4 linked regions of the Oreochromis niloticus genome follow. The protein of the gene in region 2 interacts with the protein of the main gene of each other region in a pairwise test. Links are inferred from orthologs where the notes say so. Each region holds a gene or a part of one and is shown on either strand. Other genes may lie near its edges. The genes, in order: trim2a, tnika, wwc1 and dpysl3.

Region 1 (8,276 bases), on a different chromosome or scaffold from region 2:
AACCGGTACAGTGAGTGGTGCAGGTTCAACACTGGGCTGCATCTCTTCCACTACAAAGCATGAGATGTCAAGCAGCTCGTGACTTGGCACGTTTATCTCCAGATCGAAGGCGCTTTAGCCATGTGCGAGGGATTATGCTCCTCTCAATCCCTCCTTATCCTGCAGCTCAGGGCGACACCTGAAGAGCCAGCTCCTGACTCTCACTGCTGCAGGTAGTAAAAGTCTTCTCCCTGGTGAAGGTTAGCCCGGTTAGTCAGAGAAGGTCTAATCATTCCTGGGTTTGGAAGGGTTGTTCAGTGGACAGAAGAACAGCAAACAAACGCTCTCCTTTATATTAACGTCATGAAGCAGACACCTGGGATCAGACACAACAGGCGTGGTCCCGTACAGGACGAGGACTGAATCAGTATGCCTAAGAACGGAGTGAGTCGCAACCTCTGTAGCCTCTGCATTTTTACTGCAGCAGTTGTTTCTGCAAGTAAGAAGTTAACATGAAGTCTTAATATTTGCATTTAGTTTTCTCTGATGTTAAGCATCAAAAGCCACAAATGAAGCTGTAAAATGAAAATCACCTTTGGGAATTTGGAGCTGATGCAGGGTCATCTGCGGTTTGATAGTTTACTTTTTTAACGTCATGTGTTATTAAAGTCAGAGCTTTACTACGCTGCCCTGGTGATGACCTTACTCTGTATCACTTTAAAGGACATGCTGTCACTGCTTATTAGTCTCCCTCCATCACTGTGACCTTTAAATAAGCGTGTGCCTGTAAATGCTGTCTACAGCCCATAACAACATGCTAGGAGTTTCATACTCATGTACTCATACTTACTACACCCTCAGGGATTACCTGTGATTACAGCACACAGATTAGCTGCCGGTTTGGATGCAACTGCTCAGATTTTTGAAAAAAATAAGTGAAGCAATCAATGACCCTATAAATACAACCAGTGGGTTAAAAGTAAGTCGGTAACAGAGCGAGCGAGAGTCAAGAGCTGATCTGAGTGGGGCTTTCTTCTGTCTTCAGATCTTCATTACATGAAGATGTGGTGAAAGTCAAGCCCCCAGACTGACCTCACAGCACAGAGAGGAAGTGCTCCGGAGAGAAGACTGGAACAGAAACATGAGGTGAGGGTGTTTTTCATTCACTGATATAAAACATCTCCCTCGTGTTAGTTTACTCAACGCTTTTCAAATGATGTGCTGCAATAAGACAAGACAATCTTTGTGTTTATGAACCAACGTGATATTCGGACCATATTACCTTGTGAGTCACTCAGTTTTTTAAATTCTCCTTTAGTCCCTAAATTGCAGTCTTTTACACTCACCAGACACTTTATTAGGTACAGCTCGATGTTACTGGGTTCCCTTTTGTGGCATAAATTCAACAAGGTGCAAGATGTCTGCAGCATCACACAGTTGCTGCAGACGTGTTGGCTGGATCGGACATGTTTAGCAGCAATACTCAGGTGGGCTGTGGTGTTTAAATGATTAGCAGCTGGTAAGAAGCGCTTTTCTGGTGTGAATTGTAGCCTCAGTTTCCTGTTCCTAGCTGACAGGAGTGGCACTCGGTGTGGCCTTCTACTGCTGTAGGTGTGCCTTCTTAGTCGCTTGACACAGTCTGGCCATCCTTCTCTAAACTCTCACATCAACAAGGCATTTATGCCCAGAGAATGACTACTGACTGGATATGCTTTGGAGATGACAGTGTGGGAAAATCTCAGCAGACCAGCTCATCTGACGTGAACAACCGTGCCACATTCAAAGCAACTTAAATCACCTTTTTTGCCCGTTCTGCGGCTCGGTTTGAACCTCAGCAGGTTGTCTTTACCACGTCTAGGTGCTGCCCTGTGATTGTCTGATTAGATATTTGTGTAAACAAGCAGTAGAACAGGTACCTAACATAGGTGCGTGTATGTATTCTGTTTCAAGCTTTTGGTTTTACTACACCACAAACATTTTGCTGTTCTTTAGTCTTACTGTACGTCTTGTCAGTATCGGTAGATTGCCTGGTAACTGTGCAGTAACTTCAGTGTACATTTGCCTGCAATAACCTGCAATGATGGCCAAATTAAAGCCTCACGCTGGGCATTTGTAATGTCTCAATCATGTGTTCCAACAAACAGCATGAATGAAACAAAAGAAATGTTCAATTATTCAGCAGCCATTCACAGAGCCCTCTGCTAATCCGGCCATGCTCCACTGAGCTAATAACAGCAGCAGGTGCGGGCAGCTGTGACCGGTGTGATATGAAATTATGGTCAAATGGTAAAACTCCAGTCTGGCCTAAAAATAAAAAGCACTCTGCCAGAGCATGGCCACACTCTAGTGTGGACTTTATTTACTGTTTCTGCTCTCCTGTGAAGATTTGATTTTAAAATGAATCAAGCTTTTTTTCTGGTGACATCAATCGATTCACATTTTTATGCCAAGCTACATCTTGTTGTGTTATTTGAAAACTAATTCAAGCTGCTGTCGTGACTCTAAACCAAACACTGAAAGAACCAAAGCAAATCAGCCGTGGAACTGAGTGCATGGTGTTTTTAAGGTTTAAGTTCTGAAGTAATTGGACTTTTCGTAAATATTTGATGTTTGTATGGCCATGTCAGCGCCTTAATATTTACTTTAAAGATTAATGTTAGACTTTTTCAGTCCATTATGTGCATTTAACACCTTTATTTTACTTTTGTGTACTTTTGGTGTAGATTTAAGTAAATAAGAATTAATATAAAAATAAATGCTGGTTACTGCTGATGCTAATGAGCTTTCGCTCACGTACTCTGAATGTGAAATTTTACATGCACTGGTGTGCTTTTGTGTTCTGGTGCCTCTTCAGCCTTTATTAAAACTCTTTTTAGGCTGTCACTGTACCGCTTTAGCTGTGAGGAAACAGAGGTGGGATGCTGAGAAGAAAAGGAAATCTTTGCACTGGGCCTGTGATTGTGCATCGCATGCTAAACAGGTGCCCTTTGACTGTGGCACACACACACACACACACACTGCCTGAGTTTTCTAAAATAGTAGTGAGGCCTTCAGATGCGTCACCCTTCCCCCACCTCTGACGCACACCAGACAATAAACGCTACACAGCCTGTTCCTGCATCAAACGCAATCATTAATGGAAAAGGAATGCAAATAACGCGATTCTTTCTTTCTATTTAATCTGAAAAGAGTCTTTCATGGGCGGCTGCATAATGTAGAGTTGCCATGCAACAGCCTCCCGCATAAAAAAGGGAGGGGCTTGACAGGAAACCACAATTACGACTGGCGCTTGGACGCCCATCAGGAGTCCTACTAGAAGCTGGAATTATACGACCAGCTTACATTCTTTTTAACTCAATAAAAAAAAATCTTATCTATTTATTGATTGATTGGATAAAAAAAAACAACATCCAATACAAATCCATCCATTAGATTTCTTAAACCCTTGTCCTGTTCAGGGTCAAGGCATGGCTCAAGCCTATCCTTATTGTATGAAGAGCTGGGAAAACTCTAGACAGTTAACCATGGTATAGTTAAATATTAGCCCACAGACAGCTTAGTTTAAGCCATCTTAGCCTAATTTAAAACAAAATGACAGCTAACACGAACATATCTATTGTTATATCGCCTGCTGGTTTTGGACTCTGCATTTCGAAACCTCAACAATGGCCCGTTAGTGTTTTGTGACAGACGTGATAACATTTGAAGGAGAGCAGGAGCTAGCAAGCATAATTAGCAAGCTACACCCATGACCTGCAGAGGTGCCATGCACAGACACATAGTTGGTTACTTATGGAGGGCCTCGTTGGCCGAAATGAATGAATTAAATAGAATTCATTTTGGCACTCTAGGCCCTCCGTAGTGGTTCAGTACCACACTTAGAGTAGACTAATACCAGAACTTTACTCCTTAAAACTTAATCAAACTTTGCGGCTGGTCTGTAGCGCACACATAGCCCTGACATAAGTCAGATAATTCTATAACAAATGCTTCAAATGGCTCCAGCAGCACAAACACTGTGAAGTTCACTTAAAGTTCTCCTCACACAGAAAACTATCCTACAGCTGTCTGTGTTTGCATACCCAGCTCCGAATCCAGTTATTAAAAAAATCACTTCACTTCTCTGCAGACTTGTGAAGCTACCCGCAGAGACCAAAATCCCATTTTGTATCAGACTGTAAACTTGTTTGTTTTTTTGTTTTTTTAATTCTGTAAAGTTAAGCATTTTAAAATAGGATTGACTCACTAATGGATTTAGCCTCAAGTGGCCGCTAGAGGAAATGCAGTTTATGACACTCCATATTTTAGCTCCAGTGGTCACTTGTCTGTTATCTGGTGAATAAATAAAATAGGGTCACCTGTAAAGTTGAATGAATGAATAAATAAATAGAATATTCAATTAAAAATCTATATAGTGCCAAATGACAACAGCTGACTCAAAGGCTTTATATTGTAAAGAGGCTACAATAATAAATACGGATGTTAGCTAGCAGTTGATGGACGGCTGACGATTTAAAGTTTGTTTGTTTGTTTAATTTTTTTGGCTAACTGTCCTTTGTTTTATTTATTTCAATGTATTTTTTCATAGTTACTTTAAATATTAAATTACTAAATGTGAGATGTTTGCCTCAGAGAGTGTGTAAGGAGGGTTTTTTTTGCCACATGACAAAACTACGTTAGCTTTTAACTTACCCGTGCTTCCTAACTTTATACTAAACTATAACCACTGGTATTTCTTACCTAAATAACCCTAAAACCCCGGTCAGTCAATGTCTTCATGCAACTTTTGGCAACGAAAATAATTATTTTATTATTGTGTGTGTGTGTGTGTGTGTGTGTGTGTGTGTGTGTTTAAATTATGTAGAAAGCCTACTTTTCTCTTAAATGTATTGTGGTATTAGGCCCGATTCCCAAGTGATAAAACAACAATAAATACTACAAACAGTTTCCTCGGTGAGCCACAGAAGTACCAAACACTGAAGCAGAAATAGAAATAACTCTTTGACAATCGGTTATTTTTACACGTGAATGCATTATTGATGAGTTCAGACTGCCTCCGGATGCTGTTGCCTTTCCCTTTTATTGTCAGCGGATCCCTTTAATAAGTGAAGTGGAAGTGAGTTGAAGTGGCTCTCGGTTCAGCTGTAGTGTGAGCGCAGAGCAGCACGGAGCGGAGGACGGAGGGAGCTTAAACGGGAAAATCCCAGCAGATGACGATAACTGCTTGAAACATCCTCAGTTTCCGCGGATAAGTCTGCCTTTAGGTAAGTGGAAAACATCAGCTGTGTCTGAACCAGCTTTAGGATTTGGCTTAACGCAGTCAGAGCTTCAGAGGATTCACATCTCTGTGTTAAAATGAAATGCATCCAAACATATAAAGTGCAGATGTCCAGCTGCTGGTTTAAGAGCGCAGGTCTGCAGCGGGACAACAGCGTGCCTACGTCCGCATCTTAAATCTGCGAAAACTTGAATGAACCACTGATGCGCTTGTGGTGAGTGCTGGGGAGGAAGGATCGCATGAGTTCCGAGGCATTGTGGGATTTTGTTTGGCGTTTTCAGCGCGTGTGTTGTCTGCACGTGTAGTTCTCTGTGAGTATTTACAGTTTGAACTTCAGGCTTGATCTTGAAGTTTAGCTGTCACAGCGCAGAGTCTGGCATGAGTAACGCTGTAGTCGCCGCACTGCACCTGATTCTCTGCTGCTTGTGACAAGCTGCTGTTATTTCTGCAGTGAAACGTGTCTGACCGTCGGATTCATTGAGAAGTCATCTGATTTTAGCAGGATTCATTAAAAACACTGAGATGAGAGCATTTCTGCAGATTCGGATGAGTTAGTGATTTATTTAAATAAAAACAGTAACAGTAATTTTTCAGGGAATAAATGAAATAACTAAATCTTGAATTGACATTTTGACACCATATACACCTGGTTGAACGGTTTATACACTGTGTGTTGATTTTAGAAATTAAACACGCTAATAAGTGACCCTTGGACTTGTGCTCTCCCTCTGCAGTCAGTTTACAGATATAAGAAACTTGAATTGAATACTAAATGAATCCTTTGATCAAAGGTGACCAGAGAAGTCTTTGACTCTGTTACACTGATGGGGTTTTACATTAATTTTGGGAGTTTCTACGACATTGCCATCATTATTCACAGTGGACTGTCTCAATGGCTCATCAGCAAGCCACATTCATGTCATTGTCATGGATTAAAGTGTGATTACATAAGCCTGCCCTCTCTGTCCACTCCTCTCTCTTATCCTGGCTCTGTGCGACAGAGTCTTTGATGTCCGAGCAGAAGTTTTCCTATGGCGGGCTGTTCTTTCTGTTGTGACATCAGAGATGCTTCAATGCAGTAAATGGTTGTGGGAACAAAAAGTAGAAAGTGGTGTGGTAAGGGCTGCACAATTCTGCCACCGCTGCAGTGGAGCATCATCCTCGTGCTAATCGGGAAGTTTTGGAAGGAAGGGATTCATCTTCAAGCTTCTTTTTCCCATCATGTGACTAAGTGGCACCGGAAGCCACGCGTGCCCATCCATCACATCCCACCTGATCGTGAGCTGTTCTGAGCCTACCTCATCGTTTTGATTCAAGTTGACATTAGTCTCATCTGTCCAGAAAAGGTAAACTGGGAAATGAAACGTGTCATCTGGACTTTGTGTTCTTACGTCTGATGAATAGTTTGTTGAAACCTCTGTGATTATTGTTGTGAATTCTTCTCTTCATGGGATTATTATGTGCCTAATCATATAAAAAGTGAACAGTCTTTAGTGAAATGTAAAATGCATTTTGTCGATAAACGTGTTTAATCACTCGTGATATTTAAAGAATAGTTGAGGTACGTTGTCTTGATACGCAGTGTGTAGTGTCAGCAGTTGCAAAACACTTATTTTCCCTCAAATCCACCCCTCATTCTCATCCATGTCAAAGAAATTACTTATTTATTACTTATTAAATTACTTAGAAAAAAAACTATGAATAAGCAATAAAGTAGCACACACCTAATAGCAAGTTACATGACAAAACATCTGTTTAGCCATAAATATATAGAAAATTTTAAGATCATTTGCAACATAGATACTCATTAAGGCAAATGTAGCTTTGTTACAGTATCAATCAGCAAATAACCCTGATATCGACTGACATATTTTTCCATTACATGTCGGCTGGTGGTGTTAGTATTGATGTTTTTCTCGTACAGTGACTAAAACCCCCGAAGGCTTGCTGTTCTGCACTGTTGCACTGTGACATTGTCACCCCTCAGGATCAATGGACCCAGCTCTCTGAGCTCTGCCAGAGCTCAGAGTCTGTGTGGTTAAAGCTAAGTGATTAAGCTAGAACAACAACCAGCTTAGTCACTCTTTACTCGGTAGTAGCTCTGAGTGTATCTGAATCATTTCTGTGACTGCAAATCAACAGGAGAACGAAGGACTTCTGAGTGACATCGTTTTTGAAAGGGCAAACAAACACATTATAGATTATGTACATGAAGTGTGTTGGTGAGCCTATTATTAGTGCTGATGTTGCATGGTGTGTCCACCAGGGGGCATGCTGCAATTTTCCGCACACAACAACTAACAGCTAATCCGAGCAGATTCAAGCGGAGTGGGAATGAGTAAATAAATAATTACACGTACCAAATGATTGGAGAATCTGTTTATGTGTTATAAACAGGTTCTCCAGATTCAATACATATTTAATTTTTAAATTACCAAATATCGGTATTTGTATCGGTCATAAAAATCCTTCTGATCTGTTTCTGATCCAGCATGCAAGACTTAACACTATCTTTTGGTCATCTCCAAATAATGAGGACCTCTGAGGTAATACTACAAGTTAAAGGCAACGCATATTGTAGTTATATGTGCATGTGCATGTGAAAACCTTTTACTTACTGTCTTTGAACATATTTGCACAGAGAGGCATTCATACCATTATGAGCATTAAGGCTGCAAACATATATATTTTGGGTCAAGGGTATTGTTAGTCACAATACAGGATACATAGGATACAATAGTGATGACATCATACGTCTTTCTTATCAAGTCATGGACAGTCCCCCCCCCCACCCTATCATGTGACCTATTGAGGTCACCTGACGCAAGATGTGAGTGGAGGTTGAAAGGAAGGGAGGAGATCTTAAGACTGCAATGTAAGAGGAACCTGAACCAGCCTAATAACTAAAATGAACACGTGAGCTTAGAGATGGTCTGCTTAAACTAATTAGGTAAATAAACTTAAAACTGCTTTCTGGAGAGCAATGTAGACAAAACATTAATCAATCAAAATGGGTTAT
Region 2 (7,956 bases):
CTCTAGTCAGTCTGGCCTTCCCCACTAAAATGAAACATGATGCATCTATGCAGGTGCCGCAGGGTTGATGTGTCACACCAGCAGATGTTGCAGAGACCTGACAAGGCATATGAAAACAAAGCAAGAGAGGAAAAAGTGCAGAGGCAGCAAACATGAAAAGCCACTTCTCTTTCCACTTTACTTCCCACTCAATTCTGTCTGTCTCTTATGAGTGTGTGTGTCTGTGTGATGGTCATTGTGCCTATAAGGAAGCTCTAGCCCTGGAACAGCCCCCCACCCCCCCCAACCATACACTCATATAGACTTTAAAACACAATGCCCCACCATCATCACCAAGCCCAGTATTTATAAGCCCCCACTCAACCCTACCCACCTCGTCAGAGCCAGCTGACCTACTTCCTGTCTAGCCAGTCCAGCAGTGGATGACTGTAAATTCATCTTAGACCATGTGTGTGTCTGTCTATGTGTGTGTGTGTGCGCGCGTGTGTATTGCTCGGGAAGATAGGTATTGTTCGTACATGTTGAATGGACAAACCTTGGTTTGTTTAAGACTTCTCTGGAAATCATTGTTTATTTCAGCTTGTAGAACATGTTGTTCAGGTTGTGTAACTTAGTTACGGAGGAAATCACAAAAGACATTCACAACATAATATTACAAAGGAAATAGCTGGAGTATAGTTTGGGGGAAAAATATTAAAATAAAGGTTCTGGCTTCCCCTAATGTAGCATTATGGTGGTAGGAAATCTCTATTCTATTTTTTCTCTTCTATTTTTTCCACTTCCATCTTTTGACTCAAGCACTATTTTTATGAAAAATATGAAAACTTTTTTTAGAGCTGTACCACTTCATCAAATGAAATATCTAACATAGGAAAAAAATAAATAAAATAAAATAATAATAACAATAATAATAGAATCTTAGCTTTGAGGCTAATGAAAGTTTGAACTAACCTACTGGTCTTGCCTAAAACCTTTAAGGCTCTTAGTGTTGTGAACTCATCACTACTTTTAAGATAGTAGTAATCATTTGACATAATTATATATTCCCATACTCCTAAATGCACTTCTATGTAAAGGCAAACATGAGCATCTGGATGTGTTTGCACGTCCTTGTAAGCTGCCTCTAAGTCACAGTGACAGACACTTGAAATCCTGCCTCCTAAAGAATAAGGCATCCATGGCTGAACTCCCACTCGCCTCCTCATTCCTCTTTCAGTGTTTCTCTGTCTGTTTTATTCTACTCCTCTTCTTCTTTCAGATTTCTCTTTCCATTCTGTCTTTAATAGAGCTCGTCCCGCTGATGAAATTTTGCTAGGCGTAAACCTAAAAAGTAGCACTTATTTTCCTAAACACTTGATTCACAATTCCTTGGAAATATTATTCTTCTTTCAAGCAGTGCAAGGACGTGGGCGCAGAGACATAATGCTAGGAGACAGAACGACTGGCAGAGAGACAGGGAGGTACATTCAGTCAGTCAGATAGACAAGGTGATAGAAAAACAGGTGATGAAATTGATAGAAAAGAAACGGAATGGAGGTAGATGGATGAGTTGGTGTTAGTGAAGCAGAAACAAATAGGCAAGAAACCATGAAGCAAGAAAGAGACCAGCAAAGACAGAACTGGAGACAAAAATGGCATGTGGGCACAAACAGACGACAACTGCGCTGTGTGAGAGAGACAAAGCAAGAGGGATGTGGTTTTGTTTCTCAAAGCGGCAAACGGGTCTTTAGCTGAAGCATCCCTTACTGCTTTATGCAGTTGACTATCAGCTTGGCAGACACCTACACATTAGAAACACACGTACTGCCCAATGAAGTGAAAATATGGGTCTCCACACATAAACACAGGCTGTTTGTGTATGCCTGTCTGTTTGTGTGCACGTGTGTGTGTGTGTGTGTGTGTGTGTGTGTGTGTGTGTGTGTATTATGGTTTACAGCACATACTGGATGAACAAAAGAACTGGCTATTGCAGCATGCAAGGCTTCAGTTGTGACTTTGAGTAGGTTACAGTGACTACAGGTAGGTTGGCACGCTTGCCTCTCTCTCTTGCACACACACACACACACACACATGTACACACACACACACACACACACACTGAGTAAATACCATGAAGAACAGCAAGAGAGAAAAAAATCTGGATAGATATGAGTTTGACTTAAAAGCAGTTTCTGTCCTGTTCTTACAATACACAAGCCACGAGAATCAGCAGTGTGTGGTAGAAATAGGTTAAATTCCACTCTGAATCAATTCTGATGAGGCTATAATAGGCTGGCCCACTGAAAGAAGATACACAACACCCCCTATCCAGGTCAGCAAAATCACAGCCTCAACCTTAATTCAGCATCACACACAACACCGACCTTCCGGTAACTGACTTGAATGAAGATAAGCCTTCAGATGTGCAAGCCAGCTGTAATGTTGGTTAATGTCTATATATAATTTGATCTATAATTTGACACACTGTGGCGGCCCGTCTCCCACACATCCGCCTTTTGCAGCCTCCTCTGCTCTGTGCCGGTTGTTATTCAGGGAGCACTGTCAGGTGCAAGAGAAGGAGGAACGCGCGAGCGCACACATCAATTTTCTTACACACAGACACGCACACACACTCTTTTTCTCTTTTTTTCTTTAACAGAAATTAAACGTAAATTAATCTTACTCTCAAAGTAGATAGGTCGATTTCGTCCAGACTCCGTGCTGGAGAGTCACTCGCCATGATGGAGGACACAAAAAAGCCACTGTCTGTTGTCCGATATCCAGAAACGGTCTTAGCTGTCACGACTGTGTGGTCTCTTCTGCTGCTAGGTCTACTATCCCCCCTCTCTCTTGCACAGTGATGTGTCAATGGATGACAAAATAATATCAGTCCCTTTCTCGTCAGCAGCTGGACGCTCCTCGGGCCTGGAGCGCACAGCTAGAGCGCAAACGCGTGGAGGATAGAAAGCGATAGCACCGTGTACATCAACACTTGGAAGTCCATGTCTGCGGGATGTAGACCATACAGAGTAAGGTGAAGCAATACGGAGACTGATTTGTTTCTGGTACAGAAGCTGCTGTGACAGCCAGCCAGTAAATATAGAGAAGGAGGGAGGTGGGAGCCGCTTTCCCTCAGCAAACCACGCCTGTTACCGGGCGGGGTTTACTGAGGCAGCGAGGACTTCCAAACTTTTTTCTTCCTCGTGTTTAATAGCAATGTCCTTGTACAAAACAAAAGAAACTGACTGAAGAAATACTTTCTGATTGTTGCTTATATTTCCCTGTGTACTTTTGATTAAATAGAACACTATGTGTATTTTCTTTATTTATTCATTTTTTTCAGGAAAATCGGTATATTTTAATCACAAAAAATGTAACCTGGCCCAACACACACACAAACACAGATAATTATTGAATCCATCAAATGTAAACACACAAGGCAACTGAACTGGTGTCTGTTTATCAGGTTTCCTGTTACCTTGCAACCCCTTTCCCGTTACACTTAGGAGCCTGAAGCATTTTCATAAATCTGTGGAAACATGATAAACAACGAATAACATTCTCATTCCACCAAAGACAAGACGAAACCTCTCTGGTCTCTGGATCCAACTCTAGGTTCCCCTGAATTTGTCTGAGGGCAAGCAAGAGACAAGAAAAACACAGTAAATGATTTATTTATTAATCAATTATTTTAAAAAAACGACAACAACAACAATACTACTACTACTGATAAAATAATAACAATAATAATAATTTTATTTGTATAGTACTTTTCTACAAAGTGCTTCACAGTGTCAATAGAAGCCACAGATTAAAGTTAAGTATGCCTGTTCAAACATACAGACACATTAATGGACATTAAATCAACAGTACGGTCAGACATTCATTCCAACATACACACTTCCATACATACAAATAGTTATAAAGTATAGCCCAAAGCAAAGGGGGAAATTAAGGGAACGCTTATAAAAATGTGTTTTCAGCAGTTATCAGTCGACCTGATAGAGGCTAAGCGAGGTTGTCCCACAGGAGTCTGCTGATTCTGTCAAACAAGAACCTTGGATTTTGTTTATCATCATTAACCAAACCAGCAACATAAGATGTTCTCGCATATTTCATGAGTGAGTTGAGTGTGGAGGAAAAAAGTTTCCAAGTATTTACGTTACAGTACATTGTAAAAATAGCATTGACTTCCATCCAAATTCAGTCAGTGTAGTTTAATATTATTAGTACTAGGCAAAGCAAGCAAAAGCATGCCAGTAGAAAACAGATGGAAACATCAAGACATCAAAACACAAAATTCCACACTGACATACCTGTGAAAGGAACTTCCTTTTCAGTGGTTTTCATCATACCCTTTTCTGAAGAGCTTTCTAAGGAAGGTATGTTTAGCTTTGAGGTGAATTTTTTTTTCCATAAAGTCCAAACAAAAATACGAACAAGGAACAAGGAAAGAGAAAGGGAGCTCTTTTCAGGAAGAGAAAATTGAAAATTAATTATTTTCCAGCTGTGTGTTTTTGGCTTTACACCATTTATTTCAAACTGATTTTTTTTTTTTTTTTTGAAGAGAATTTAAACATTCAAGCAGATCAGAGGTTTTTTTGTTTTGGCTTTTCTTGTCACATTTTGGAGTACTGCCATGCATGACTTCACAAAACCTGTGTCACATGCTTATGAGAATTCTTAATGACAAATAAACTGAATTTCCGATCAGGTCGCTTTATATCCTTATGTGTCAATGTTTCTAAACCAGCAAGCAACTAGGCCATCTCACATGCCATAACATGCAGCCAACGACATTCTACTGAATCAGGCCTCCTGAGTTTTATGGAGTGTCATTTTCGAGAGAAGGGAGGAGCGTTCTGTACTCAACTGCCTTCAAATGGAAAAACATAAAAATTAAGCCTTTGTTTTTCTATTTCTTTTATGCTCCTTATGGGCATAACCAACAAATTGGTTTGTTAGTACTTCTTTTGCTATAGCAGAGCTGATTGCACACATACACAACTGGCCAACGCCCCTGTGATTTTTCACAATAGAAAAAAAACAATCGTTTAGCATATTATTCACCACTTTCCACTATATATGTTCAGCAATTTGTAATTCTCCATATACATTTTAATGTTTGGTTCATAAACAGTGGGTCTTTTATACAACAGTATAGACTTTCCTACTATATTCCCAAATAACTGAAGATGTCCTCCAGCCTAGCTTTTGCACCCAACTTTTGTTTTCAAAGTTAATGAAACATATTGATTTATTTTCCATATTGCAACTGCTGCTGATTTCACTGTTTCATGAGAAAAGAAATACATGTTTGCTCACATTCTTCGACCATGCAGAAGCTGTTTTCTGGGGGTTAACAGGTTCAACAGTTCTTATTTCTCATGCAACAACCTACCTGTTTTTTCACAGTTGGAGCGAGAGCCGTTGCTTTACTCATATTGACGTGTACTAGAGATGGGAATGTAGTCACACAGGCATTATAAGAAATTATTATGCAGGAGCCTATTATTGAAGCTGGTCTGTCAAGCCATATATCTTAGAAATGATCAAGTTTCATAGATGTGCCTATTTTCACGTAAAAAGGAAACAAAAAGTTCAAAGATATGCGTATTTGTTAGTCATTTTAATTACATAGTTTCAAATGAACAGATAGATATCGGAAATCTTTTAACTGTACAAAAAGGTTATTGTACATTAACTGAATGAAGGCAAGAGGTCCAGAGAGTTTACAGAAAGAACAGCTTCAAGGTGGCTATGAAAAAGAAAACGAGTCCAAAATCATCCATGTGAACGTGACATACATTTAAAAATAAATGTTAAAGAATGCTCAATTCTTTAAACTCCATAAATAATAAACATAGCAGACAATAATGTCAAATTCAAAACAGTTTAAAATGTAAAAGTTTTTTTTTATCATTTTACTAACAAAGAGAAATAATTTTCAAATAGAAGCACTTGATTTTACATCTGCCAATGTTGTGGTCCCAGTCATTTTCTCTTACATAAATGGCAATGATTCACACACTGGGTAAACAAAGGGTGCTGCCTTTACATGACAAAACTGGAGCTCTATGCCAGGTCAAAGTAATTATGTGGTTGATTTGTTAAATACCTTGTGATTCCAATGTGTCATAATTAACCGACTATGTGATTAGTTTCTAAAGAAGTGGTTATTTATCTTCACATTTAGGGGATGGTGATGCTCAAATAAGACAACGTGGAAAATATTAAAAATGAAAACAAACTGGGTAACACGAGTCAATATTTTCACATTTACAAAATATATAAACTGCTCGTGGATCACCTATCGCAAGTATCTCGAGAAAAGGTCATTTTACTCTGAACTGTTACATTACAATAAAAACAAAAAAATAAAGTCTTTGAAATGCTGTTTTCAATCTGGAACTACACAGAAACTGGAACAAAGCAATTTCAAAGCCTGACTTCATACGAAAGCTTTACATCCAGCTTCATCTGCATGCTTAATGACAAACATAATTGCTGTAGTTTTGCTGTTTGTTTTTGTTACAATGTTCAAAATCCATTTTTACTTACCAAGAGGACCTTAAAGATCCTTGAGATCTTATTTTCTAATTTTGCAACTGATTTTTAGGAAGCTAGCACCATCTGCTGAACAAAGAAGAAATTTCTCTTCTAAATGGACACGCCGATTGTCTTAAAAAGCCACTCGAATCATTTTACCAGGTCACAAAACATCTTCAACAACAAATAAAATGTCAGTGATGAGGTTTTGTTTTTTTTTTCTCAGAGGTGCGATTGGTACAAGCATCATGGCAATCAGACTTCAGCATAGTTAGTAAATTGTGCACTGCTCTCGAAACGGTAACATTGTTTCTGTGCAGTTGGAAACAAAGCAAAGAGCAAGCATATCTTCAATTTCTTACACAAACAAAATCTTCAAAACACCTCTGAGATTACATGCTTGTAAATTTAAATAATTTATCAAAAGCAGCACATACTTAACAGAGAACTCTTCCGTGAGCTCATAAACAGCATACATGGCACTAATGCATGTTACGGGCGTACATAAAGAACTCAGTTAATCACATTTTACCACCTCTAATGTTTAGATTTTGTGATTTCTAAACAGAGCTGAATATCTGTTAGTGTCATTATTTGGTTATAGACTTCATCATCATGGTCCCATACAAGCTTTAGCCATCTTATGAGCTTTTTGCACAGTTCAAAGGTCTAAGCATCTAGAATTTAAGATAAAGTGATTCCCAAAACCCAGTCTTCATGTTGTCTTTCCACATATTGAATGCAGTCACACTGCTATCATAGATGCCCGTGTTCTTCACATAATACATCCAAAAACTAACAAGGTATAACTACTGTCTAGTGTCTTCCAGTAGCAAAAGATCTGAGAGATTTGTCATTGCTCAGCAATCGTATCAAGCAAAAAGACAAAGTGTTAATCTGACTTTCATCTCAGAAATATATTATTCAGAAGTGATCTCTTTGACTCCAGTACTGAACATTTATCATCATTAAACTGTGAAAAACCACCCAGAGGCTTCCCACAGGAGGTCTTCTCAAGGAACAGTCCATTTCATTTTGTGGGTAATGGGGCTGAAACCCTTCATGTCCAGATCTCAGTTGGAACCATGGCCTCCTTTGTCCCAACAGAGGGCATGAGATTATGCTCAGACAGGAAGTCCAGAGGAAATTGCACTAGGAAGCCACGGATTTTGCGCAGCTCCTCCTGAGCTCGGGCAAGATCAGTCTGGGCCAAACCTGGCTTGGACTGGTACTGCTCCAGCTCCGACATGTTTCTAATAAGGGATGAAGGAAGGCAGCGAAATACCTGCAACCAAACATATGCCTCATTAACTGAAACTCACGTTTGTGCCACTCTGAGTGGACCATGAGATTTTAGTTAACTGTTCTGTCCACGACTTTGTCTTATGTCTGAATTATCTTTCTTAAAGCCACATACTCAAAACGATT
Region 3 (7,339 bases), on a different chromosome or scaffold from region 2:
AGTGCTTCTTGTTTATTAGCTGTTATTTATTAGGCTGCTATGCGATTGGTTTGGCTTGTTTGTCTGGTTATTTACCTGCAGGACGTCTAAAGATTGCCAGAAAATGTTTTCGAACTGTTTTATTCACCAGAGTTTTTAATGAAACATAGCAGACATTCCTGGAATATCACATGCTTGGAAATTGTGGGAAAAATGTGAAGATTTCTGTTAAATGCGGTAAAACAGACTTCTGACGAATCATGCCTCCATGCAGAGTCAGCCCCTCCCCCCAGAGGCATTTTCTGAGTCCGTTTACTTACAGGAAACTTTATCAGAGGTTTGGAATGATTCTGGGAGTCAAATGTTCTCGATTAAGAAAAACAGGCAGATGTTCTAAAGATGTTCTAAAGAAAATATCACAAACTAATCTGGATGCAGATTATTCTGGACTCAGTTCAGATGGAGTCAAGATGGAATCATCCTCATTTTAATCAGACAGCTGGAAGCACGACCACTTCTCAGGCACAACGTGGTCAAATGAACTCAAAGCAGAGCTCAGCAGCAGTCAGAGGAATACTCTTACTGATGATGATGATGGCCACTGGCTCCTGTATCTTCTGATTTCTTGTAGTTTTAGCTGGAAAATGTGGAAATCAGGAGTCAAACGGAGCGACAAACGTAAACCAAACACACTGGGGGGAAAGAATCCAGGTTCTGTCACCCGGAAAAGAAAAAAAAAACAACCCTTGAGATTTCCAGACATTAGGCATTAAAGGGATTTGGTGTCAAAGTCTGAGGGGTCTTAAGTGACTGGTAAGACTGAAAAATCCAGTGAAAACCCGCCCTCCCCTCTGCGCTGTGGCGATCTGAACATACGAGGCCGTGTCACGCTCGCCTCTTTAAGCCTATTACACTGATGGTTTCTATGAGAGAGGAGAAAAGAACAGGTAACACACCTCCACGCCTGACAGCAGGAATGTAAACGAGCAAACAAGAAAGCACCTCTGGCATCCTGAGCTGTGAGATAACCAAGGTTTTATGACAGGTTAACAAACTGAATGAGGCTTTCTGCTCTGTGACACACTCAGCTCGAGGTTCCCATCCTCAGATTATTCCCGAGAGAAGGAATGATTCCTCACCCAGAGGTAAACTGGTATTTGGAGTGAGTTATTTGGAGGAACAAACCTCACTGGACTGGCTGTTCATTACTGACCCGTTTAATCATTAGCGAGATATCAAAAATTATCTACTACAAACACAAAATGACAAACCATCCAGATGCCAAAAATAATAACGTTGCTAAAAAGTTATTTAAGAGCAGTCTAGGTGGTCTGATTAAACATTAATAAATGAACATGTTCAGGCTGCCAAGAGCTCAAAAATACTTCACTAGCTTCCAGCCGCCTCACTGCAGCAATAAAAGCACCATTACTGGGTAAAAATGAGTTTTTCCCATACTTACCAAAGTATATATATATACATAAAATGCATTCACTCTAATTTACAGATAATAATTCACACAGGTGATTGGCTTTCACTGCAATTAATTAATTATTGTGCACACCTGTGATGCGGATTCATCAGGTAGCCATTACCTTCTGTTTCACCCACCACGACTCCAGCAGCCACCCATTTCATTCACACCTCAGTCACACCAGCTGGAGACTACCCGGCAACCACCGGTTGCTAGGAAATAACAAGTATTCCACCATCCAGCTGTGAGTGGTTGCTGTGAAACCGACTGGTCAGTGTTTCCCTGGTAACCAGCGGTTGCTAGGGAAAAATAAAGTATTCCCGACCAGTTGGCGAGTAGTTTTGGGAGGTTCTATGCAATTGCTTGGTGGTTAGTTGGTGAATGTTTGCAAATGAGTGGGCGTCCTCCAAGCAAACTGCAGGTGATCAAAGCAAGGTAGCAGAGGTTTGCCGATGGCGGTCTCTAGCCGTTGGTCAGCCACTGGGCAACTCTTTTATTGGAAGGTTCATACCAACTCTCCTCCATCCCCTGCTACCACTGATTTTACTATGATGTCTTATCAAATAACAACCTGCCAGAAAACTGGGAACAAGGTCCCTAAAATCAGGTATTACTGGGGTCAGTGTGACTGGCTTTTACCTGCCACAGTTCCCTAAACAGAAAAGCCTCTTCAGCAGGTTTAAATATTGCACATTAAATCCATATCAAGGTACTTCAGTGCAAACATGGTGTGGAACTCTGTATTGACTTCATGAACAGACAACGATGTTTGGCCTAAAAGGCTCACACCACCTCGTTTACCGCATGAATGGAGCCTTTAACACGGCATGTATTTATCACATGTATGTGTTTTGACTATCTGCCAGAGGTCAAAGGTCGACGGCACCTGTTCTCACGCAGTCCTACCTGTCTCTGGGGTCGATCCAGCTCGTGCACTGGTTAATGTGGTCAATGTAGTAAACTTTGCCATCAAAGTCTCTGGCTTCCTCCCAACCGTCAGGTAGTGGCAACTCCTTCCTCGGCATGTCAGGCGAGTCTCCATGTAATGAACTCCTCTCTACTCAGAATCATCGCGAAGAGATACCATCATCATCACCATCACAGTCAGCCTCTACATCTGCAGTTAGTCCCCAAATTCAGAGTCCGGTTGGATTAGGCCATGGTAACAATCCATAATAATCCTCAGATTAACAATCAGACCCTGAACAGGAGGAGGAGGAAGGGGGTAAAACAAACTGTTTCATCAGGCTGCACTTGTGCAACAATTCATCCCGGTGTGAGAGCCTCAAAGCATCCGTAACGTAAACACAGCAGCTGGAGGAGTGTCCAGGACGGTCTGGAGTTTCCCAGGTCCGATGGCAAACTTTGAGGCGGCCTGGAAGAACTTTTTCGGGATGATTATCCACGCTCCGCCGAACACGGACGGGGTCCTGCTGCCGCCGGTGGTCTTGCTGCTCGGGTTTAACGGAAACACACGGGGAGCCCAGTAGAAACCTCCAGATTAACAAAGCGCAGACTTAGAAAAGGGTGGAGCAGCAACCAAAACGCCCTCGCGTTCCTTTAAAACACCCCCAAACCCGCAGAGCTGGGGCTCGGCTCCTCTCCGTGCCTACAGGCCACCATGTTTAGCCGCAGTAACCGACGCTAGCCTCCAGCCTGCGGGACAGCGAACAGTCCGCCCGCCGCTTGGAGAAAGGAGAAAAGTACCGGGAGAATCCACAGCCGTTAAAATCCGCTAAATAGCCGAAGAACTTCTTTGTTATCCCGTAAAAATCCTCCGGTGAAAGCCGGGCAGAGGGAGGCAGCGGCAGCGGCGGCGGTAAAGTCTTCTTCGGTCCCGATGACTTCGCTCGAACCGATCAAGCTAACTGCAGCCACTCAACCCGATTTCCGGTTTCAAAATAAAACATTTGTTGACAAACTCCAGGAAACAAAATAAGACTTCCGGGCAAAACAATATCCGAAAAGTACTTTTACTGATCCCATGAGGGAAATTATTGTTTTAAAGCAGGAGGAAGAAGAATAAAATATACAGGGTTCTATGAATAACACAACATAGTAAAAGGCCTATAGCGATGGTAAAAATTAAATGTAAATACTTTTGGTTATTGTATTGAAATATCACTAAAATTAACAAAATCTATGTTTAAAAAAAAAGAGAATGTTGTAGTGAACTATAGCTAAACGTTAGTTAAAAAGGCTATAACTGAAAAAGTCAAGACTAGGTGTGAGTTAAGTTACTCACTTAAGTTAAGTGAGTAACAAACAAGATTAAAATTCACTAAGAATAAAGACTTGCCTTTAGTGTGGAAAGAACTTACAATAAAACCTACAGTAAAATAGAAATGCACACGTGGCGTGTTTTTATTCAAACAGCTGTTCCGACTTTCCAAAATCTTGCTCCTGACAAACAACTTTCATAATTAAAAATAATAATCAAACATCCACCTGAAACTAGCAAAACTAGCAAATCTACTCTGTAAAGTGAATCAAAGTGAATTATTTTGAAAGCAAAAACTTCAAAAACAAAAATTTCAAATCTCAGTAACTCTGTTTTCATTAAATTATTTTTATTTTTATGGAAGCATTGCTGTTCTACCTTAATTTAATATTTAAATGCAAATTATGCATTTATGCATATTCTATAGTTTGTGGTATAATTTTATTTATGATTTATACTTTTATTCTACTACAACAGTAAGAATCCATTCAGAATTTTGAAAAAAAAGTCCTTATCTTAACCTATTTCATTTTAGATTTTTTATTATATGGATATTTATGGATTATTATTTATTATTACTATATTAATAGTAACAATAACTATTATTATTATTGGTAAATTTTAACCGTTATATTTTGGCTGTTTTGTACTTTTTTAAATTATTTGGTCTAAAAAAAATTAAATCAAACAAATAAACAAAACAAAAATACCCAGATAAACTTCCACATTTATAACTTTTATTATTTTTATTGACAGAAAGTTTCATTGTAGGCTGTGAGTTATGGTGATACTTAAAGTTTTGTTCAGTTTTGTGGCTCATTCATTAGTGTTTTATTCATAACGCCTGGTTTTAAATGTTATTCACTTATTTGTTAGCAGATATTTACAGAGTTAAACCTCCCAGCCTGCCCAAACTTTCAAGCCCACAGCGCCCCCTGGAGGTCAATATTCCGCAGTGCTGAATAGGTTGGGAGAAGTGATGGTTATCATCACCTGCAGATTCTTCCATCGTGCAGATATTTCTTCACACAAGAATCCAACGTCAAGAACAAAGAGTGAAACTGCTTCATAGTGCAGATGTTACCGGCATGGCTGCATTAAGCTTAGGCTGCTGAGGGTTTCCCATGATGCACTGGGTGCATCTTCTTCACTAACTGTGTTTTTATACACCTCTCTACATTTAATCATCAGTTATAATTAATCTCTGGCTCTCTTCCAAAGCATCTCTTTATCCTATCCAGCAGATGGCCCCGCCCCTCCCTGAGCCTGGTTCCGCCCGAGATTTCTTCCTGTTAAAAGGGAGTTTTACCTTCCCACTGTCACCAAAGCGTGTGCTCATAGGAGTCATCTGATTGTTGGGGTTTTCTCAGAATTAAATTGACTTTAACTGAATCTCCAGCTGAAAGGTTCCTCTCTTCTTTAGCCCTGAGAACACGATGTTCACGATTTCCAAACTGAATTTCACGGCAGTGTTTATCTCGCGGCCTTGTTTCTGTTTTTCCTTCACAGAGATTCAAGTGAAACTGAAGGACGCAGTGATGAGCTGCATTCACTGACGTGTTTTTAAGAAATTGATTTCTACCACAGAATCACCACATTTCTGTCTTTGGTGCTGTGCTGCCTGAAGGCCTGAGGCTCACAGCCTGGTTTTTAACCTTGTGTATGAAGATTTCTCTGAATCTTAACGACTTTATGTACCATGAATGAATCATGCACAGTCTTCCACAGAGAGCTGAAACCCTCCCTATATTTATCTGTAAAAACTCTGGGCGAAGCTCTTCTTCATGTCCAGTCATGGTTTTAATTCACATCATCAGTTATTTTAATTTTTGTTTGTTTTTAGCATTAAACAAATTAAACAACAGTTTTCTATTGCTTAGCTGTTGCTAAATTCATAATGAACATCATGTGACATATTTTTTTTTGGACTATGTCCAATCAAAAGATTTGGATTAATTCATTTGCATATCAATGTTTTATGTTCTGTTTGCAAACAGAGCTGCAGTTCAGTACGCAAATTTTTGAATATTTATATAGCACCAAGCTTTGCACAGTAACATCAATACCTGCTGTGTTTGACAGTGAAACCCAAACATCCTAACATTTTACAATTCTGATGCCTTCAAGCGCTGTAGGAAAAAGTCCACATTAGCTCCCACTGCACTAATCTGGTCGTCTAAATCACTAGAATGAGCAGATATGACCCAGAACTAGTGCCCTAATACCTGTTACCCATGATTATCATTATTATTATTATCACAGATTTCAGTTCAGTTCAGTTCATTTTTATTTCAAACATATACATTCACCAACATTTCATAATATCATTCCATGCAGTTGTTTAAAAAGGAGTAGGCAGAAGTATATACTTATTTAGCCCTACCCCCTTATGTTTACATCTTAATCATTTCCTCATCATCTAAATTTGAACAACAAAAACTTATACAAAGATTTCAACTTAGAACATAACGTCACAAAAAAATATTTTCTCATATTCAACTAAAACTATGTTTAGATTTACTGATTTGCAAAAGAAAATAAACATCACTTTGACTGCTGTCTTGGGTTAATTGCATTTTATTTTTATTTTATTTTGTATTTTTCATTTTATTTAGTTTTATTTTAAACTGGTTTATATCACTACTGGCCTTTTATAAAGGGGAAAACGGCGCTGGTTCTCCATCATTATCCCGGCTGCTGTGTCACTCTTTTGGCACTGCTGTATTCAGGAAGCAGTGAATAAAGCTGTGCCTGCTGTGGGATGCAGGATCAGGCCTCCATGAAGCCTCTGTTACTGTGGAAAAAAAGAAAACGCCCTCACTAACAGACGTGTTTTCAGCTTCAGTGCTTTCTTAATGAAGCACTTTGCTAGATTTGTGCTGCTTTTTCAGGAGGAAATATTCAAACACTGTACTTCCCTTCATAATTGTTTTATATGAGAGGAATAAAATATCCACTAAATTTGAAGTGAAGCATGAAATATATTTCTTTTTAATGTTATTGTAATTGGTTACAGCAACAGTAAATCCCACAGTGCACTTCACTGTGGGGTACATCACTGTGGGGTACTGCTGCTTTTCTTGTTGCTTGTTTTGCAGAAGACATCTGCAAAACAAGCAAGATGACTGTACATGGAGGAAGACTTTTATTACAGTTTATAAACACCTATCACATATGTAAGGTCATGTTTTTAGAGATGGATTTATGGAGATGACACAGACATTAAGGTTTTGTATTGTTGTTTAAATGTCACTTGATTTAAGCACGTTTTAAAGAGAACACACGGCGGCCTTACACATGTGGAGCTGTGTTCAGGGCTTCATTTTGTTTGGAATAAAACAATTATTTAGGTCCTTAAGGTTGTTCTGTACAGGTCATAACATTAAAAAATGAATAACAGATTTAATTTAATGTTATTTTGACAATATGCATTAAATATGTGTTATTTTTATAATAAATTAAAATTAAAGTATATTTGAATAAAATTAAAAATCTCCACATCACTATAAATTATGAATTCAGTAATAATTATTGCTATAATATCAACATTTGTAATATAATTTAATATATTGCTACAATATTGCAATACTTTTTCTGAAATGTTGGAAATAAATGAATACATTTTTTATTAATGAGTTAATTTTAATAAATAAGTTTTACTCTAA
Region 4 (8,020 bases), on a different chromosome or scaffold from region 2:
AATATCTAAATGAATAATGTTTACTGTGTCTTAGTCTGGTGAAATACTCCTTTAATACTTAACGCTTCTTATATTTATACTACTTATAGTTATGTTACACTTGAAAATCTTTGATACCTTTTCCATTATGCTTAAAGTCCTTACAAAATATTTGGGAAACTCTACTGTTTAAACATTTGCATTTTAATTTTTGATATTGAGAAAAGGTACGTTTGTGTCTGTTATGTGTGATTAAAAATGACACAAGTCTTTCAGCACCATGGAGAGAGAGACACAAACAAAAGCACCACGGAAAGAATCCAGTGCTAAGTAAAGGTAATAATTACTTTATATTAGTGGTTCACAACCCATTTATCTGAATCAACCCAGTAGACCAGACAACACAACAGCATATGGATTCTCAGATGGAATTTTCTGAACTCATTTTATATACTTATACATAACACTTAATTACCCAAAAGTGGAAATTAATTTCTCAGCAATTAGTTTATTTTTTTTATTACTTAACCTCTTAACAAATTAATTCAAGTTATTTTACTAATTTCTGTACTACTTTCAGCTTACCATTGACTCTTAGCCATTACTTCCTACTTATTAGTTTTCTTCACGTAAGCTATTTATTGTCTATTTGAACTCTTTATCTGTGCTATTAAATTAAAAAAAAAATCAGCTGTTGTAATTTAAGCTGGCTATTTTATTGCTTTTTTAAAGATTTGTAATTATTCCTTTTTTGTTTAACATTTCTGCTTTGGTTGCACTCAATTAATAAATTTGAATTTTGTCTTTGGCAGATTAGTTGAGATAAGCTTTTCACATACTTCATGAACTCCTTGTACCCCTAATTGGAATTTAATTAGACTTACTCTCTAACTGTGCTATTTCAGTAAAAAAAAAAAAGAAAGAAAAAAAAAAAAAAGAAGTTGTTTCTGAAGTGTTTCCATATTCTATATTCAAGGAAAGAAAAGGAAACTTTTTTTTTGTAAAAAATACATTGGATAAAGTCAATCCATCAGGACTCTAAATGTATGAGTACTGCTTTTTGCCATAAAATAAGTGTGGGACAAGAACATGCTGATAATATTTGTACGTGTGACCTAGCAACTATGCTAAAAATTCACTTCATCCACTCTTAATTGACACTGGCTTTGAGCAGTACACTCTAGGCACCAAAAGATGATGATTCATGTCTCGCTCTCTGGCTCTTGTTCAACACACACACACACACACACACACACACACACACACACACACACACACACACACACACACAATTTTGGCTGAGAGCAGTAGAATCACTGGACTAGACAAAGTGGTGTGATTACCATTTTGCCATTTAATCACCAGAATGTGGTCATTTACTGGCACACAAGAGTACTTCTCTAAAGCATGGACGGAGAAAACAGATTTTAAAAAAAAAGACCAGGAAAGAGTTAAGCAGATTACACAATAAGCTAATATAGAGCAAGATGTCATAGATTACAGACAAATGGAATCTAATAAAAGTCATTATGGTGATGTCAACTCTAGAATGAAATTAGTAGCAGACCTTGGTAAACATTTTGAAATGATCCCCGCATAGTATGCTTGAGCTGAATTTCAGCTTTAAGGTTTGCTGTTATGTGCTACACAGCATTTAAGAGAATGTGGGGAAGTTTTTAAGAGATTTTCTGATTTTGGCTGCTAATATTTCCTACAAAGATTGGAAAATAATGGGATTGTCTCTTTACAGTTTAAAAACTTTAAAACCACAAAACTATCTGACACAGATTGCCTTTCCTGATGATGCAAGTTCTTCATCTTCAGATTGGTCACTAATTAAAATATGACTGCCTGCTGTTGTTTCTGCTGCACAGGCGGATCTGCACTCTTATTCAACTTTCATTTAACAGAGGCTCGGCAACAAAGCAGTAGACTCACAGACCTGTGTGTGAGTAATGCAAGTAAACTGACTGACGCTGTAGAGCTCTATCTCTTTGAGAACAGGTATTCTACATGCTTTTTTCCCCCACTGTTGCAGTTAAATGTGTTTCCTTTTTTGTTTACACCTCTGTGGTTCTAGTGCTGTTATTCATTCAGTCTCAGACAGTTTGAGACTAAGCTGCTGCACTCTACATTTAAGTCTTCACATTATCCTTGTGATATATTAGATTCCCGCCTTCTGAATCATTCCTGCCTTTAATTGCCCTAAAGTACTGTAAAAAATAAACATAGATTTCTTCAGCGTGGCAGGTGGCCTTTTTCCCTCATGTGGCCTGATACTGAACTGCAATATTGCTGCTCTCAGGGGACCAGATGATTCAGCAGAAACCAGCAGACAAGAGAGTAAGGTTGTGTTTTTGTTTTTTTGTTTTTTCCCCCTCTGGTTTGGAAATTGTTAGAGGACACAATGAAGGCAGGATGTGTTTATCCCTTTGTTATTAACTGGTACATTTAGCGTGCCAGTAAAACTTAACAGCATCCTCGTCTGGCAAACAAATGACGAGTGGAAAAGCTGCCCGTTTGTATTTTTATGACAAATGTTGTTACCCCTCCTTCCTATCTGAGTACACCGGGTTCACTTTGATTTGAACTACAGTAAGTCATGATATTATTGGCACTGTCATGCAAACTCTTAATATCATTCGTTGTTTTGTGGCTATGGTGAACTGAACTGCTCACTATGTGTTCCTGTGTTGTTCCCTGTTTGCTGTAGTAATACTGAACAATAACAATCATAATTATAGATTTTATTGGTTTTCCTCCTGTCTGGTGGGCTAATTAGTGCAGTGAGCTGCTGCAGTGGAGTGAATAATGGAGACTGGCTAACCAGATGTCCAGAGAGAGAGGAAATGCCCCCAACCCCATCTTTTTTTTTTTTTTTTGTGATGTCCTGCAGGGTGGAAGTCACATTGACACATGCATTCACAAAGCATAAAACTATACATATACACTGACATGTAGGCTTGTCTAAATTAAAACATGCACACGCGTGCCTCTTTAAGCTGTCACAGAGATACTCTAGGAACAAATGAAATAAGCACTCTACTAATGTTGCATATAACATTCAGTTTAGTCTTTATAATCAGCAGATAGAAACAGATGATGTCTGTGCCTCCCTCTGGTTAAGTCTGAAAAATAACTCTAATTATATTGGGTGCAGCAAAGAGATGCTGTTGTACCATAAATATATTCAGTGTTTTGGGAGAATGAATCATAAAAGGGACCAAAAATAAACACTAAGAAGAATGCTGCTTCATATGTCTTCATATCGGTCAAGACTAAGCACCTGATAGAGCCTTAAATGTTTAGAGTTAAGCAAAATTTTAGGAGGTTTAATTCTATGTTCTGCGTAACCTCGTTGCTTTATCCTCCCCCTGCATTTTCAGAATTGTCCCACTGCCACAAAACAACTCTAGATGATTTAGTCTTCTTCAATTCGCCAATGTCGTCTATATAAAGAGATCACATAGTGGCTGAGGTGGTCAGCATGATTGTGCTCGTGGGTAAACTGATAATATAATTTTATATGATTGTTGGGTAGTGAACTGGAAGCTTCTCAGTCCATTCACTGTGGTGTGAAATGTGCTCCAACAGGCTTGATGACCTGACAGAGACTTTTCTGCATCCCTGATCTGTCTGCACCCTGTCTGTCTGTCAGTGTCAGCCGGTTAATGTGGTCTGCAGAGGTAGCAAGCCTGCAAACTTGAGTGTGTAGCGCTGATGCATTCTCCAAGTCCTGGAAATGCTGAGGTAATGCCTTTCTGCCTCACTGCCATGAAAGGACATGCCAGGATGAAGGCCCTGTGTCTGCTTGTAGCAAAAAAAATGATTTAAACCCTTAGTTTTCTACAACAATTGGATATAACTGTGCTGTAAAGCCTTCCTACATTACTCTGTAAAGCAATGTTTTTAAAAAAAAGACAAAATGAAGCAAATGAAAGTATGATATATATATATATATATATATATATATATATATATATTATAATGCTAGTGTAATATAGACACACAAATTGGCACACCCTTTGTCACACACCTGCTCCTACATCCATGTCACTCTCAGGATCTCATTATGGCTGCATTAGAGCTGAGGAGGGGAGTGGCAGAGCGAAGAGGGACCCACTTTAGGTTCAAACAATGGAGACACATGGCTGGGTGGGAACATGCAGAGAGAGAGAGTGTGTGTGTGTGTGTGTGTGTGTGTGCAATGTTACGGGCAAGCTCTGTGACAGCTGCCACACCATTTTGCTCTTCTGTGTCCACCAAAACAAAACACACAATCTCCTGGTTGTGACTGATATAAGGTCTACAATTTCAAAGGGAATATTTTTTTTCTTGCCAATAAACCTATTTAGGAGACTGGCAAAAATTTAAACATCCAATATGTATGATTAACACACGGCAGTGAGGCCAGTGGACATGTTTAAAATAAGTAAATCTTTCCATTACATATTGTTTATAATAACGATGGTGATTTCTATCCCGTGTTCCTTTGTTTCCTCTTAGTTCTGCCAATTTTCCCCTAATCAATCAGACCTTAGTGACTTCAGCCGTAAACACACAGGCTCAGACTACACCACAAACTAGTGCGCCTCAAAACCAGCTGCTTCAAGGACTTTGCTATTTCTGAGGCAAGAGGCATCTCGGATAGGTCAGTGATGACAGATATTGGATACGCAGCACACTTTATGTAAAAAAAAAAACAAAAAAACAACGTGTGACAGCAGTGTAACGCAAAGAAGAGGATGCCGGCTGGAGGCTGTTCACCAGCTTCTCCACTGCGCCCTCCGGTGGAAAGATTGTGACATCACGCTTTCCAAACTGAGCATACTGAGGGAGGGGCCGTGTGCCTGGACCACAGACGCTCCCATAGCACTCTGCGAGCCACTCCACATCGCACAGACAAGAGGGGCGACTATTCCTTGAAGCTCCCATCCAGGCGAGGGCCGCTGCAGCATCCATAAAAGGGGGAATATCGCTTTTAAAAGCTCGGTATTTTTTTAAAAAAAAGAAAAGGTGGAATCGGACAGAAGATGTCTTATCAAGGAAAAAAGAACATCCCAAAGATCACAGTGAGTAAAGAGTTATTTCTGCTTCACTGGCTGCAGGAACTTTGATGGCTGCTGCTTCAAATCACTGCAGAAGGTTTTAGCGTTTTTTTGCGCCGCTGCGATGGATCTTTATCACATACACCGGTGCAAGCCCAGAGCAACATGAAAATGCTCTTTCTATTGTCAGAGCCGACTGCAGGAAGCCGCTGGAACAATGCGCACAATGATATGGCATGTCTGGCTACCATAGTGACAGTCAGGCAGGGAGATAAGGCGTTTTCTTAAAGGTGTCCTGCATCCTCTTTGTTGAAGCGATCCATGCCGTTGTGCAGAACGGATACCGGCTCGCCCATTAAAAAAAATCACTGTAAGGTTTATGCAGGGAATTCTGCTCTTCAGTGCATAACGGAGACTTTATGGTGATTTAAAATATGTAACTCATTCTTATATATTTAGAATAATGCAGTTAATTAGATTTATTCCCCTACACTCCACCTAGATTTACAGCGTAAAGATATTAGAAGAACGTGTCCAACCCTTGTGGGGCTTTTTAAGGCCCAGATGGTCTTGTTCATGGGAGGATATTGAACAGTAATGTTGATCTCATTTTTCGAATACCCTTCTTGCCATTTTGGTGCACAGTGATTTAATGACATACATAAAAGTATCATGGCACATTCTGGTCACAATGCCCTGGATGCTTGCAAATTAGTGAAAAAAAAGGAGGAGGGGGGGGTCCTAAAAATAATGGTCACTTATTATACATTAACTCATTGTTTCTCTTGAAGCCCTTTATTGTTTTATTGCAGAAAAAAGCCCTCTCTGTGATTTCATAGGGGGGGCCTCAGAAATCATAGACAGGGTTTGTCTTTCAGGCTGGTGCAGCAGCAGAGAGTGAGAGGGACAGGAGGAAAAGAGAGGTGGGGGAAATACACGCCCATCTGTGATAAGCTGGCCTTGTGAAGGGGCGCTTGTGTTTCTGCATCACCACAAGGAGAAAGATTCAGGGTTGGCTCAGAGCATTCAGGGTGGAGCGGGGTGGGGGGTTGAATTCAGGGCAGACTGGTGTTACACAGCCAGCCAGCTGGGTGTTGGTGTGTGTTACAACTGCAGAGGAACCTCTCCCTCTGCTTTTTTTCTTTCTGTGTGTGAGCATCTGAAACGCCTGTTTTCCAGCTCTCATTGTTGAAGCTCAGGCTGCAGTTCGGGGTGTGTTGCTCAGATGTGGGAGACTTTGCCTTATTCTTATCTCCTCAGCTGATTGTACACAATGGGAGTAAACTGAGGGATTTTTTTTTTTTGTAAATGTTATTACTGTAAAATTAGGAGATGAAAATACGTGAAAATAGTGAAGGCATTTTTAGAAGAGCTGGTAATTTGAATGGCAATAGTGTCTAAAGAAAATGATGTTTTGTAGGTTTGAGGGTTTTAAACATGCAGAGGAAATGCTAATTGTGTCAAAAATACACACACATGCAGCAATAAAGTAACAGCAAAAGTAACATGAGTAAGCTACACTGGTTCATCGCCTCAAGATATATCATATTTGGTTACTGAGCTTGCTTTTTTGTGGATTTAGAAAAGCTCCAGTTGTAAGCAGCATATTAACACAGGCTGACAGAAAGTACCACAATACAAGTTTTTCATGGACGTCCTAAAGCTGCTTCATGCTGTTTCAGTTGAAGGGGAGTAATTTATGATGTAAGCAGCCACACTTTTCACTGTTTTATGAATTTAATTATGGTCTGATCTCAACATATGGGTGACTATTCCAACAGTATTTAAGTGCTTTTGAAAAGTGATTTGAAACAATGTCTGGGTCAACCACTGAGTGGGTTCCTCCCAAATCTGTTTGCGTCCAGTTGACAAGGTAGGGTGTACTACGTTCTTTCCTACATCCAAGTTATAACCATAGCCTCTAAGGGTGTAGGGAAAAAATCAGTTTGGCATATTGGATTATTTTGTGTGGCGATATTGTATAAAAAATATTGATAATATTGATATTAATAAATGAATAAATAACAAATACTTGAAAATATATTAGTCTAACAACAAGCGATGACCCTGGGCCCCAAGAGGGCTCGTCTCCTGCACCATCATCCTGAGACAAGGTTAGTCGAGCAAACTTACCATAAATTGGACACACTTAGCTTGACAGAGTATAAAATTTCCACTTGATCTTATTCAATTGCAGACTCATGGCAGACTGACTCCATCTTATGGCAACATTTATGGAAGGTTTTAGTGACAGTGTTGCTTGACAGTTTCATTTTGGAGCAAAAAACCCCTCCCCAAAAAACGATGTCGATAACTTTATGTTATTGGATAAAACCGATATTGACAAATTCTTACTTTGAGGACATCATTTGCAGTTGAAAAAAGGTGATAAATTGCAGTAGATGTTATTGCAATACTGAGCTTATCACCAAATGTTAAAAATTGCAATAATATTGTATCGTGAGTGAAATATTGTGATAATCTCATATCGTCGGGGGTCTGGTGAGTCCCACCTCCAATAACTTTATGAGAAATGTATTTTATGTCCAACAATGTATGGACTAACAACACATGTTGTTGTTTGATTTGGAGTTTATGGCAGTAGTGATTCCCCTCCAACCATTTGATCAGCTTCTTAGAAATGCAAACACACAATACTTGCATTATTGGTTTATGCACATGCAGACAAGCCAGGAGAATTGAAAGTGTCACGTTGTTTCAGTAAAAGCAGACTAAAGCAAGAACCTCTTGTTACAAGCACAGACTGTTGTCTTTGTCTTTTCTGTATCTAAACCATAAACATGTATATAAAAGATGGCCATAACCTTCTTGTCTGAGAACTAAAGCCAGTACGGAGGAACTTGGATTCTTTGTTATAGCCAACAAGGGCCGAACTCTTGGGTTACAAAATGAGGTCATACTGTATAGAAGTTTATGAGGAAATGATCCCATTGCTCACATGAGCCACTGGCCTCTCCTAATGAGTTTATGTT

The links.
Region 1: the proteins of tnika (region 2) and trim2a interact in a two-hybrid assay, tested with the Homo sapiens proteins (2 studies listed by BioGRID and IntAct). The link is inferred for Oreochromis niloticus from reciprocal best matches to the Homo sapiens genes TNIK and TRIM2.
Region 3: the proteins of tnika (region 2) and wwc1 interact in a two-hybrid assay, tested with the Homo sapiens proteins (2 studies listed by BioGRID and IntAct). The link is inferred for Oreochromis niloticus from reciprocal best matches to the Homo sapiens genes TNIK and WWC1.
Region 4: the proteins of tnika (region 2) and dpysl3 interact in a two-hybrid assay, tested with the Homo sapiens proteins (2 studies listed by BioGRID and IntAct). The link is inferred for Oreochromis niloticus from reciprocal best matches to the Homo sapiens genes TNIK and DPYSL3.

What each region holds. Positions count from the first base shown.
Region 1 is NC_031971.2:13,887,806-13,896,081, reverse strand, and holds the start of trim2a (tripartite motif-containing protein 2), read left to right. Parts: upstream 1-5,138; 5' UTR 5,139-5,243; intron 5,244-8,276. UniProt on the Homo sapiens protein: UBE2D1-dependent E3 ubiquitin-protein ligase that mediates the ubiquitination of NEFL and of phosphorylated BCL2L11. Plays a neuroprotective function. May play a role in neuronal rapid ischemic tolerance.
Region 2 is NC_031983.2:19,800,091-19,808,046, forward strand, and holds the start of tnika (TRAF2 and NCK interacting kinase a), read right to left. Parts: upstream 3,084-7,956; 5' UTR 2,720-3,083; coding exon 2,663-2,719; intron 1-2,662. Other genes in the region: pld1a (phospholipase D1a), read right to left, coding at 7,589-7,813. UniProt on the Homo sapiens protein: Serine/threonine kinase that acts as an essential activator of the Wnt signaling pathway. Recruited to promoters of Wnt target genes and required to activate their expression. May act by phosphorylating TCF4/TCF7L2.
Region 3 is NC_031975.2:30,434,880-30,442,218, reverse strand, and holds the start of wwc1 (protein KIBRA), read right to left. Parts: upstream 3,336-7,339; 5' UTR 2,479-3,335; coding exon 2,360-2,478; intron 1-2,359. UniProt on the Homo sapiens protein: Regulator of the Hippo signaling pathway, also known as the Salvador-Warts-Hippo (SWH) pathway.
Region 4 is NC_031975.2:21,370,477-21,378,496, reverse strand, and holds the start of dpysl3 (dihydropyrimidinase-related protein 3), read left to right. Parts: upstream 1-4,836; 5' UTR 4,837-5,012; coding exon 5,013-5,051; intron 5,052-8,020.